3 linked regions of the Rattus norvegicus genome follow. The protein of the gene in region 1 interacts with the protein of each later gene in a pairwise test. Links are inferred from orthologs where the notes say so. Each region holds a gene or a part of one and is shown on either strand. Other genes may lie near its edges.

Region 1 (4,038 bases):
ACATGGTGGGGGAGGGGGGATTCCAGATACTTAGAGTTGGGGGCTCTTCAGATCTGTACTCCCAACTCAGGAGGAGGGCATTTTCCATTTCCAGGTCTCAGGCCAAGCCATTACCTCCAGCCCACAGCCAGCCAGCCTGACAGTCACAAGGCACCTTACTGCGCATGTCTGCTCAATGGGGGCGGGGTGGTGGGAGCCAAAGTGCAAAAACGCTCTACAGCAAGGGTCTACAGCTGTCAAGGTGCTCGGACAGAATCACGGAGAAGGAAGACCCCCAATGTGTGCCCTTCGTGTGTGGTTGGGCTGGGCCGACCTAACGGAGTAGATGGGACCTTCAGCTCTGCCTTGCTCTCTCTCTCTAGTCACCGTGGACAGCCATGCCGAGCTTTGTTGACATGCACTGACCTCCCTCCAGGACAGAGGGACCCTCAGCTCCTGGGGCAGAACCACAACATGCAGGCAGCCTCATGCAAGGTTGCCCCGGCTCACTTGCAGGCAGGCGAGCATTGCAGCAGAAGTCCTGGGCGGAGCATGGCTCAGAGGTGACCTGTCTCACGCCACTGTCCCCTGGCAATAGGGCCGCCCTGACAGCCGCTAGCTTTATATAATTACTTGGGAGCGTCTACAACGGGCCCCTGTGGGCAGAACAGACAAGCCTAGGGTGACCTAAGCATCCCCCAGGAGGAGGATCCTCTAGTAGGTGATCATTGCTGTGGTCCTAGTGGTGTTGTGAGGTGGGTGTGGGCAGGCGTGTGGAAAGGGCTGGTCCTCAGCTGGCTGGGAAACCCGTGCTCGATCCTCAGCTGACTCTCAAGGCTTTAGGAGAAGCTGAAGCTTGGCTTGGGTCTATGTGTTCAGTGGCGACTCGAACCTTGTGCTGCTGGCTGGCATTCAGTTTGGGTGGTGACTACGGACCCCGTGGTGAGGGCTCTGGGTCACTGAGCCCTCAGAAGGTCTCACACCATCAAAGGGACAGATTGATGGAGGTTACCTCCTCCCCTAAGGGAGTTCGGGACCAAGTAAGAAGGGTCTTCAGAAAGAACCCTTCAGTTCCAGACACTGATAGCACCCCACTTTCACTCTGAGGAATTGTAGCACAGACCACCAGACCCTTGGGCCCTACAGATCCTTGGGACATGTCTCTATCCCCAAGCCCTGATCCAAGGGCTCCCCTTTCAGGGCTGATACCCTCCAGCAGCAGGCTTAGTGGCTCCTGTGAGATCAGGGTCACTCTGAATTGGGTCTCCAGACATCCAGAGGCAGAACCAAGGGTCTCAGGCAAATGCATCTGGGATTTGATGTGACCTCTCTCTTACAGATGATGAGACAAGAGTGAGGGGCAGCCTTATTGCCCAGGGCAGGGCTTCAGCTGGGATGTGACAGGAGCAGAGCTCCCAGGGGACTGCCTGCCTCCGGGGAGGCTCTGGGGGTCTGGCCAGTGGCTGCGTGCAGCAGGGGGGCTGCATGCCAACAGGAGGGATGGGCAGGAGCGGGTGGACACTGGGCAAGACACATCTACCTTGTTCCACCAGCCCCATGGTGGTGCCGGAGGCCGCGGTGGACATTGTGGCCGGAGCGGTGGTCTGTCTGCCCACTGTTAGCACCGGGTTAGAGACGAGGGGGGGAAGGGGGCGGACACAGACGTGGGGAAGGGCGAGGTGAGGAAAGAGAAGAGACAAAGGAAGCAGAAGAAGATTAGAGTTAAAGTTTAGGTAGGGGATGGCTCCAGAATCCCTTTCTCAGGATAGTGAAACAAGACTGGGCCGATAGACACTGGAAAGCATTTGCCTCCTTTCTCCTTAGAACACCCCAGTGGGGCTTCTTGTGCCCTGTGGGGCATGCGGGGCACACAGCAGACAGGACAGTCCCATTAGTGTTGATGTGACTGTGTGCCCATTCCCGGCAGTACAGCATCACAGCAAAGTAACAGGAGGCAGGGTACCAGATGCAGACGCACAAGGAGAGACGACCATGAACGCTCGCACATAGTGTCAGACGACGAAGAAGCCACAGACATAGCTGTCCGGGCACTGGGGCCAACACTGTCCCCCCACGCGGGCCCCATGGGTCTCTAACAGACCCTTGAGACTTCATTTTCCCATCACCCACCCAAACAACCAGGGTAGGCGGCCCACTTACAAGTCACCCCGTGCGCGGACCTCAATCTCATCCACCCCCACTTCGGCTGTCTCCCACACACAACACGATGCTCAGAGAACTGAGGACAAGGAGGCCACAGGGCTGCCCAACAGATGCTTGGACGGATACAGGTGGCAGGCCAGGTGTTGGCAGCACAGACACTGGGGTGTCAAGTAAGGGACACAGACCCAACGACACGGAGGAGGCAGGACTGGGGCATAGCAGACCTCAGTAGCTACCCAACGAGAAAAGCCAAAAGGCCTTCTGGGTAGAGGATCTTAGAGGTGAGGACAGAAACTGGGCCCCCGCCAGCCTGGAGGAAAGGGGCGGGGGGGCCGATGAAGAAGGAGGGGGCTTTCTGTAGAACGAGGGTGGGACTCAAACACCGTCTTCCCTGGAGAAGAATGTCTCACCTGAGAAATTCCGTGTGGCCAGCATAGTGGTGAGGATGGCTCCCTAAGGAGAAACAGAGACAGGGCCACCCTGTTAGTGTCTGCTTCTGTCCCCCCTGCTCGGTCTCCCAGAGAAGTAAGAATTCCAGAGCCTGGCAGCTGCACTGAGGGAAGCCACACGCCCATAGCTAAGGCTCATGCTACCCATAAATCACAGCGTCAAGACTCCTGAGAAGTGAGCATGGCCAGGAAGGCCTGCCACCATGACAGCTAGCCCAGTGGTTCTTGAACTTCCTAAATGCTGTGACACCCCAAGGTAGTTCCTCATGTCCTGGTGACCTTCCACCATAAAGTTATCTCGTTACTACTTCATAACTGTGATTCTGCTACTGTTACATTATGAAGGTTTTGCAGGGTATCTCGACCCTTGAGTTGAGAACCACTCCTTTAACGGGCCCAGGGAAGCCAGGGCTGCCCTTGGGGCTTTGGGGAAGCTCAATTGAGCAATGGTTCCCAGGGCTAACCCTGTCCTTAGCTGGCCAGCAACTCTCAGGATCAGGCCTGTCCGCCTGCCTCTCTAACCTGCTGGGCCCACCAGGCCCTTCTGCTCTGCCCTTTACTGAACCTGCTCTGGGCCAGCACTCCTTCAGCCCTCAGGATGCTCTGCACTCAGGGCCAAGCTCGCCCCTCTGAGCTGTCCCAGAATCTGGAATCCTCTGATCTGGACTCGTGAACAGGCATGGATTTGGGGGGTTTCTCCTGCTTCCTCTTTTGAAGGCCCCACTAACACCCCTACTTCCAGCATGGGGCCCCCCCAGGATGCAGGGATGGGGTCTGAGTCCTGCCTACCTTGAGCTTCCTCCTTGCATTGAACTTCTTCAGACATTCCACAGTCTCCTGTCTGTGCATCATGGAGGCCACCGTGGATCGTTGCTGTTGGGAGAAGGGAAGTCGCAGGGCAGTGAGGATCTACAGAAGTATCAGCCTTGCCTCCAGAGGGGGAACCAAGGAGGCTTAGGAGAGGGGTTCAGGGTGATGGCACTCTAGGGCCAGCCACCACAACAGCGAGAGATCACTTGTTCCCACCTGCTGTCCCCAACCTATTTCCAAGTTCAAGAGTCTTGTCCTTCACAGATCAGGGGAGTGGTCGGACACAAGGAACAGAAGCCCGGGGCCATCTTAGGGGCCCTGGATAGACCCACCAGGAACTGGCCCCTAGAGGTTGCCAAGGACGACTTACGCAGACCCATGGGTGCTTCAGGGCCTCGTGGGCCGTGATGCGCTTGGCGGGGTTGATGGTCAACATCTGGTTGATGAGGTTTTTGGCTTCAGGGGTAACGGTGTCCCACTCGGGGGATGGGAACTACAGAAGGAAGTGGGGCACAGGGCAAGGCTGAAGCCCCTCCCCTGGGGCAAACACCCCTGAAGAGGAGGGAAGACCCAGGCCGTGGCGGTCCCCGCCCTCCACACCCGGCGCTCACTCACGTCATAGGCCCCAGCCTTGATC
Region 2 (4,500 bases), on another chromosome or scaffold:
TTCTAACAGACACCTAGCATGTATATGGTGCACATACATACATACAAACAGTCATATATAAAAGAAAATGAATAAATATAATTTTTAAAAGTGTGGTCTGGTGGAGGATGCTGGGAGTCCAACCTTCATTAATGTTGGCCTTAAGGAGAGGGTTGCTCCAGGTGGAGGCTACCTTACACAGATGGCTCCATGTATGTGACTGTTTCCACCTTACTGTACTGTGAGGCAGACAAGCGCTAAGGTTCCTGTTCACCTGTGGGGCAGCTCACGCCTGTGAAGAGTGGTAGCTGTCAGTGTTAGTCCCCATCTCGGGTCTCAGGAAAGAAGTTGAGAGCTTATGACAAAGGACGTTTATTCAGGCTCGATCCTGTGGCACAGCATATGTACAGAAGTCAGGAAACTATAAATCGGGTTGCCATGGAGTCCTTTGGCTCAGCTTCCTCGGTGGGCCCCCTTCTCAGTCTCTCACTTCAGAGTGTAGAAGGTTGGGGTCACTTTTTGGCAGCTTCTGCCTGAGCTGCCAAATCCGCCTCTTTCTGAGCAGCCAAAAACACGGCCCGTTCCTTCTGAAAAGCTGCCAGTTCGTCTACACTGAGGCTACAGGAAGAGCGATGGTCAGTGAGGGGCGGAGCCTGGCGCAGACCCCAGCTGCCCTGCCCACGTCCCTCCCTGGACTTTCCAACTTTCTTACCTTTGCTCATCTGCAGTTTCTCTGCCTGGAACCACAACCCACATACACTACCATCCTCTACTGTGGCTCCTATTTTAAAGACCTACGGAACCTGTGGCCTCTACTATACCTTTAGGATTCCCAGCCCTTCCTCTGAGCCACAAACACTTCAAGTGAGAGAGTCACAGAGCTGCATACTTTAAGGCAGACTGTGCTCTAACCTCACCCCTGAGGTACAACTGATGCCAGCCTTGCTGTAGGGAAAGACACCAGCAGCAAGCAACCAGTGATGACTGACCCAGTTCCTGCCTCTGCTGTGCTCTGGGCCAAATGCTCTCCTACTTGACAAGTTACTTCAAGGAAACGATTCCTGAGATCATCCAAAGCCAGCTGACTTGTGTGGTTGTTGGCTCAAAAGACCCTTCTGTCTGGTCCCTCCCTCAGGCCATATCCCATCTGCCTCTCTAGACGAGACTCCTAAACCACAACGAACTTAGCTTCAACACCTTATCTCTCATTGTTCCCTGCAATTTTTCCACCTTTTGGAACATTTGCTCTCCTACCCTCCTTTTCCTGGGCTGTTTTGATGTTACCTCCCTCAGAGTCATCAATGACACAAGGGAAAAGCAGGAACTCTCCTCTCTGCTCTCATGACATCCACTGGTTTTATAACTGACCACCTGTTAGCCTAAGCCTCTATGTATGGATCTGTCTCTATTTAGGACTACATATTTCTCCAGAGTGGCCGAGCACCACTGTTCATTCCTGGTTCTGTGCGGTGTCCAGAGCCATGTCTACTACAGAAGAGATACTCATCCAAACGAGATGAGGCTCCATATCCTTCTGCTAGAGTCTGCTAGAAAGCTAGACATGTATGAAAATGTCACAACGAAGTTAATATGCTTAACTAATATATGCTATAAATTTAAAAAAAAAACCTGACTTTTTCATTGCAATAGGCTTTCTCCCAAATCAAGAACTTTCTTGGTTTCCTTTGTACACCATTCCTCTCAAGATACTCACTCTTTCACCACACGAATGCCCAGGGAGCGGGCAGAGCCAATGATGGAACGGACAATAGAAGACAGGGGTACATCTTGCATGGCAAAAGCCTCATCCTTAGCTTTGACACGGGCAATCTCGTATACGTGCTTCAAACTCACCAGACCTGCCACCTCTTTCCCTGGGAAGAAGGAACAGGTCGTCATTCTTCTAGTGCCACTATTTCTCTGGATACATCAGAATCTCAGGTGCCCCCTGTAGCCCTTACCTGTTTGCCGGGCCCCCTTCTCAATCCCAGCAGCTGCCTTCAAAAAGTAGGAAATAGTGGGCTGCCCAATCTTGAGCTCAAATGTTCTGTCGGGCTTAACAGAAAAAGATACATGAGAATTTCTTGGTTTTCTATCTGGTCCAAGACATTTCTAATGTCCCTTAACTTCCCATCAACTTGCATTCCTGCGGTGTTGTCTTTAACACCAGAGAAGGCAGGATGGGCAGATCTACAGTCCACATCCCTGTCATTTTTATTCCTAGCACAATTCTCCTCTGGAACCCCTGTGAGATGAGAGGTCAGAATCACAATATGGCAGGATCAAGCCAGTTCAGAGAAATTATGGTCTAGGCTTCTGTGTAAATGAGAAGTGGAAGTTGGCAACCAAGTTAGGGACAGAGAAGCAACCGGGATGACTAGTTTCAAGTGCCAAGGAAGTATATGGGAGAATTCGTCTCTGTACCTTTATAAAAATTTTTGTAGGCAAGGGAATGCCTTCTTTGATGTCCTTTGTTTTTTCATTGAACTCTTTGCAGAACTGGTTGATAGAGACACCTCGCTATGAGGAAAGCATATACAAAGTTAAGTGTGAGGGGTTGGGGATTTAGCTCAGTGGTAGAGCGCTTGCCTAGCCTAGCAAGCGCAAGGCCCTGGGTTCGGTCCTCAGCTCCGGAAACAAAACAACAAAACAACAAAACAAAACAAAACAAAACAAAACAAGACAAAAAAAAAAAAAAAAAAACAAAGTTAAGTGTGGGAGCTGAAGGCTTCCTATCAACCAGGAGCTCCAGTCCCCCCGTCCCCGCCATCTTCATTTTTTTTGTGTTCCGATATTTCTTCTACCCAGGTTCAACTACGGCTTTGGGTGCCAGGCGATTCGTCCACAAGGTGCCACTTAATCAGCAAGTAGCCAACTTGATGGTCAAAAGAGGCTACGTAAGTAATACAAGAACCTAAGGCCTGAAGGTGTGAATAGCGGAGACAGGTTTATAAAGGAGACCTCCCGGGCTCCAGAGCACTCTCCCACGTCTCCCAAGCCGGCTTCCAGACACCGCACCTGACCCAAAATGGGACCTAATGGAGGCCCAGGGATAGCTTGGCCTGCTCGCACGATGGACCGGATCACGCCGCCGGCCTCGGGCTTCTTGAGGGTCCGAGTGACCCGGCTTAGCTTCGACATGATATAGGATTTTAACCTTAGTCCGCCTCGGAGAAGTCAAGAACTACGATCTGAGCGCTGTCATTTTGGGTCAGAGGTCAAGGGCCCTCGTGTTGGGCTAGGGTAAATGTGGCCAAAAAAGAACAGTCTTGTTTCAGGCATACAGCTCTTCGACTGAAAAACGAGTTACGGAATTTAAAAATGAATTGAACTTTGCGCTCTGAAGTCAGGACAAGAACATATATGGTTTCAGTATACACATTCCTTCAGCAGTGCCCACAGGCATCGCCTTAGACAGCCAAACAGGAGATCAGGACTTTGAGTCTCCGCACAGCATTGTAGGTATTGTAGTATTGTAGTTTTAGCTCTTTATCCTGCGCTTGCTGTTGACTGAGCTCTGGGTTGCCATCTGCTGGACACAGTGATATCTTAGTGTTTGAAATGGAGCAAGTTATTCAAAGGAGTCCCTTGAGTCTTTTGTTTCGTGTGTGTGTGTGTGTGTGTGTGTGTGTGTGTGTGTGTGTGTGTGTGTGTGTGTGTGTGTGTGTGTGTGTGTGTGTGTGTGTGTGTGTGTGTGTGTGTGTGTGTGTGTGTGTGTGTTTTTCATGAAAGGCAATATGATTATAGACGGAAACGAAACGTAGACTGCTGCTCTAGCTATGAACCTGATTTATAGCTAGACAAAAAGTTAGGGCTAGGGTTAGGTTACTGTTTCTGTTAGCTATTTCATGTTGGGCACCACGGATACTATAGGTACCTTTCAGAATCATTGTGACAGCTCAGTAACACACGTTGCTTTAGAACAATACTTGCACCAAGAAGGCATTTACCACTATTTGTACAAAGGGAAGAAATTTTCCCGGCACTTTTGAAACGCAGTCTCTGAACCCTCATTCCAGTCAGACCTAATTTCCCACTAGCTTCTTAGGCATACTTTATCGCTTCCCTTTCTTTCCTTCTTTCTTTCCTTCTTTTTTTTTTAATTTTTTTTATTTATTCATTTATTATATATATAAGTACACTGTAGCTGTCTTCAGATACACCAGAAGAGGGCATCAGATCTCTTTACAGATGGTTGTGAGCCACCATGTGGTTGCTGGGAATTGAACTCATGACCTCTGGAAGAGCAGTCGGGTGCTCTTAACCGCTGAGCCATCTCTCCAGCCCCTCTTTCCTTCTTTCTTTCTTTCTTTCTTTCTTTCTCTCTCTCTTTCTTTTTATTGGAAGCAGATGATTTCATTACTTGCTTTCTAGGGAATGGCATTTGAATCAAGTGGTGTTTGTAGTCTTTGTTCTCACTCCCTTGTGTAGTTAGGCACTTTGGGACATGCATGCAGAAACATGTACATTGCACACACAGGGAAATGGAAAAGGAAAAGAAAACGTGGAGGATTGTGAGAG
Region 3 (2,783 bases), on another chromosome or scaffold:
ACAAAAAACAAAAAAAAGCTATACTCACACACACATACATACACACAATAGCACACACAAAAAATGTGCAGATCTGTAACATTTTTCACAGCTGATTAAAAAAAAATACTACCATTCTCCCCCCAGACTCCCCTTTGATACAGTAGGTAATCAAAATAGATTTTTTTTCCCACAAATATCAGCAGACACTTCCTGGCACCCCACACTGTATTGGCATCAGTGCTTAACAGTCCCAGTTCACATGTGCAATACTTCAGATTGGATACACTGTAACAAGAACCCAACTTTGCATAGACATCCTCAGAATCCTAATCAGTCCCTGGGTTGCCCTTCCAAGCTGGCAGAAAAGGAACCCCTAGTCGTAATTTCCAAATAATCCTGGAAAACAAGGGAAAAAAAAGTTTTGTCCCCTCTTCTGGCTCCTTCGTATGATTTTCTGGGACCTCTTTCCTTGTGTTAAAACTTGGAACTGTGAACAGTTGCTTGGGGGAACCCTCCCCCACTGCCTCCTTCCCCTCCACTTCCTCTGCTTCCCCACCCCCATTTTTTTTTCCAGGCTTGAAACTTTCGCTTGCCGGTGTCAAGCAGCCAATACAGAGCCTTAATGGCTACTTTAACGGGGAAAAATGCATTAACCAAAATCAACGAGGAACGTACACGCTGTATAGAGCCATTTTTCCATCAGGGTCTCAGATGCTCAGCAACGGACACCCCCTCGGACCACAGCTGAAGGCTAGGGATGCTGGCCACACAAGTCAGCCAGGTTCCTCGGACATCCCAGCCAATACAACAAAGTCGTCTCCAATCTCAAAGCAAGAAGACAATCACATTAAGAGAATCGGGTGCGTTTGGCTTTGTGCACAGAGCGTGGCCAGCGCCCGGCGGCAGACAGCGCCTCACAGGATCACACAGGCCGAGCAGCAGCCCTCGTCGCCGTTGGGCTGTGCCGCGTAGTTCATCTGCCTCACGATCTCTGCGAATAGCTCATCCACTGAGGCTTTGTTTTTGGCCGATGTTTCCATGAAGGGGCAGCTCCACTCCTCGGCCAGGGCCTTGCCCTCGCCATAGGAGACCTCACGTTCGCCCTCCAGGTCCACCTTGTTGCCTACCAGGATCATGGGTACGCGCTCGTACCGTTTCACGCGGATGATCTGGTCCCGCATGGGCTTGATGTCCTGGAAGCTCTGCTGGTTGACCAGGCTGTAGACGAGGATGAAGCCCTGGCCATTCTTGATGTACAGGTCCCGCATGGAAGCGAACTGCTCCGTGCCCGCGGTGTCCAGGATCTCCAGAACCGACGGCGACGAATCCACCTCGATCTCCTTGCGGTAAAAGTCTTCAATGGTTGGGTCGTACTTCTCGATGAAGGAACCTGTTACGAACTGCACGGTGAGCGCGGACTTGCCCACGCCACCCGAGCCCAGTACCACCACTTTGTACTCTCTCATGGCTCCGTCGGCGCCCTCGTCGCGCCTGCCGCGGCCCCGTCGGGGCTGCGCGCCGGGGAAGGCTGGGTTGGGCGGGCGGGTGGACTTCTCCCCTTCCTCAACTCCGCAGGAACAACCCTGGCGAGACTAGCCCGGTAGCACGGGCTCGCCAACAGGCTAGCAGAGCCCCGCGCCGGGCCGACCGGCAGCGGGGGCGCGTCCCTAGGGCGCGGGTCCCGGGCCCCGCAGCAGTCCTGGCGGAGGACCCTGAGGACAATGCGCGCAGTCGGAGCAAGACAACGGCTGGAGCTCTTCGCCACGGCAGCCTGGGAGGGCCGGGAGGCGGTGGCGGCTGGTTGCAGAGGCGGCTGCTAATTGTGCGTCCGGCTGAGACACGCGTGGCATGAGTCCCCACGGAACGTGCGTCCAGCTCCGCGGCCCATCACTCTCTCCTCTCTCTCCCGCAGCCTTCGCTGGGCGAGGGCTTCCTACTCGCCGCGCGCAGCCCGGCCCTCCCCGCCCAGCGGAGCATGCCCAGTGCGCCGCCCGCGGTGCCCCGCCCGAGCTCCGCTCCAGCTTTTCCGCCGCATCGGGAGTGGGCGTGGTAGAGGGAGGGGCAATCAGGGACTGGGCGGGGCGGGGGCGGGGCGGCGCGAATCTTGGAACTGGGCAACCCGGCTTGTCTGTGCTTGTAGGTGGAAAGCTCTCCAAACCCAAGCCACCACCACCGTCTGGGCTCCGCGGGCCTCCTGAGGGCGCAGCAGACAGCAGCTGGCTGTGACCTCCTCGTCGGCTTCCGCTGTTAAAGGATAAGACACCTATTCCTAAACCCAGGCCGCTGCGCACCTCTAAGAATCATACACTTGCAGGGCATTTTTCAGGCCGGGGAAGGTATAGAGAGGCTCGGGCCCCAACTTGGCACTATGTTCCCGTGTCATTTCCCCTCGAAGAACTCGGCTTGAGTCCCTGTCCGGACCAGGAGCTAGCGGGTGGGAATTTGTGGGTCGCCACAGCCTTCGGGGCAGGAGTTGCCGGGTCATCCTACCTCCCCTTTGGCTAGAGCCAAAACCAGGCTAGTGGATCGAGCCCCGCGGAAGGCCCGCGGCTCCCGCACCCAGTCAGGGCATGCTCAGTCGGCAGAGCAGGTTCGGGGCTTGCAAGTAGGAAGGTTTCGCACCGCACACCCACACGCCAGCTCAAATTACCTCTCCCAGACTCCCAACTCATTGGCCCCAGGATGTGAGTCTCACACCCCCAAATGTTTTCCCATTGGCTGTTCCCGAGGTTTTGTCACTTTAGACAGCTTCATTGGCTGGAAAGTCGCCTCCGCTTAGGATTGGTTATTTATAGAGATTG

The links. The genes of interacting proteins can lie anywhere in the genome.
Region 2: the proteins of Camk2b (region 1) and mrpl11 interact in binary tests that used the Homo sapiens proteins (3 or more experiments, as listed by UniProt). The two-hybrid records come from large-scale screens. The link is inferred for Rattus norvegicus from reciprocal best matches to the Homo sapiens genes CAMK2B and MRPL11.
Region 3: the proteins of Camk2b (region 1) and Rap2b interact in binary tests that used the Homo sapiens proteins (3 or more experiments, as listed by UniProt). The two-hybrid records come from large-scale screens. The link is inferred for Rattus norvegicus from reciprocal best matches to the Homo sapiens genes CAMK2B and RAP2B.

What each region holds. Positions count from the first base shown.
Region 1 is NC_086032.1:85,074,580-85,078,617, forward strand, and holds part of Camk2b (calcium/calmodulin-dependent protein kinase type II subunit beta), read right to left. Parts: coding exon 4,017-4,038; intron 3,895-4,016; coding exon 3,772-3,894; intron 3,465-3,771; coding exon 3,381-3,464; intron 2,596-3,380; coding exon 2,553-2,595; intron 1,595-2,552; coding exon 1,520-1,594; intron 1-1,519. UniProt on the Homo sapiens protein: Calcium/calmodulin-dependent protein kinase that functions autonomously after Ca(2+)/calmodulin-binding and autophosphorylation, and is involved in dendritic spine and synapse formation, neuronal plasticity and regulation of sarcoplasmic reticulum Ca(2+) transport in skeletal muscle.
Region 2 is NC_086019.1:211,692,503-211,697,002, reverse strand, and holds mrpl11 (large ribosomal subunit protein uL11m), read right to left. Parts: upstream 3,197-4,500; 5' UTR 3,121-3,196; coding exon 2,998-3,120; intron 2,500-2,997; coding exon 2,404-2,499; intron 2,035-2,403; coding exon 1,941-2,034; intron 1,854-1,940; coding exon 1,694-1,853; intron 598-1,693; coding exon 492-597; 3' UTR 336-491; downstream 1-335.
Region 3 is NC_086020.1:147,748,052-147,750,834, reverse strand, and holds Rap2b (ras-related protein Rap-2b), read right to left. Parts: upstream 1,449-2,783; coding exon 897-1,448; downstream 1-896. UniProt on the Homo sapiens protein: Small GTP-binding protein which cycles between a GDP-bound inactive and a GTP-bound active form. Involved in EGFR and CHRM3 signaling pathways through stimulation of PLCE1.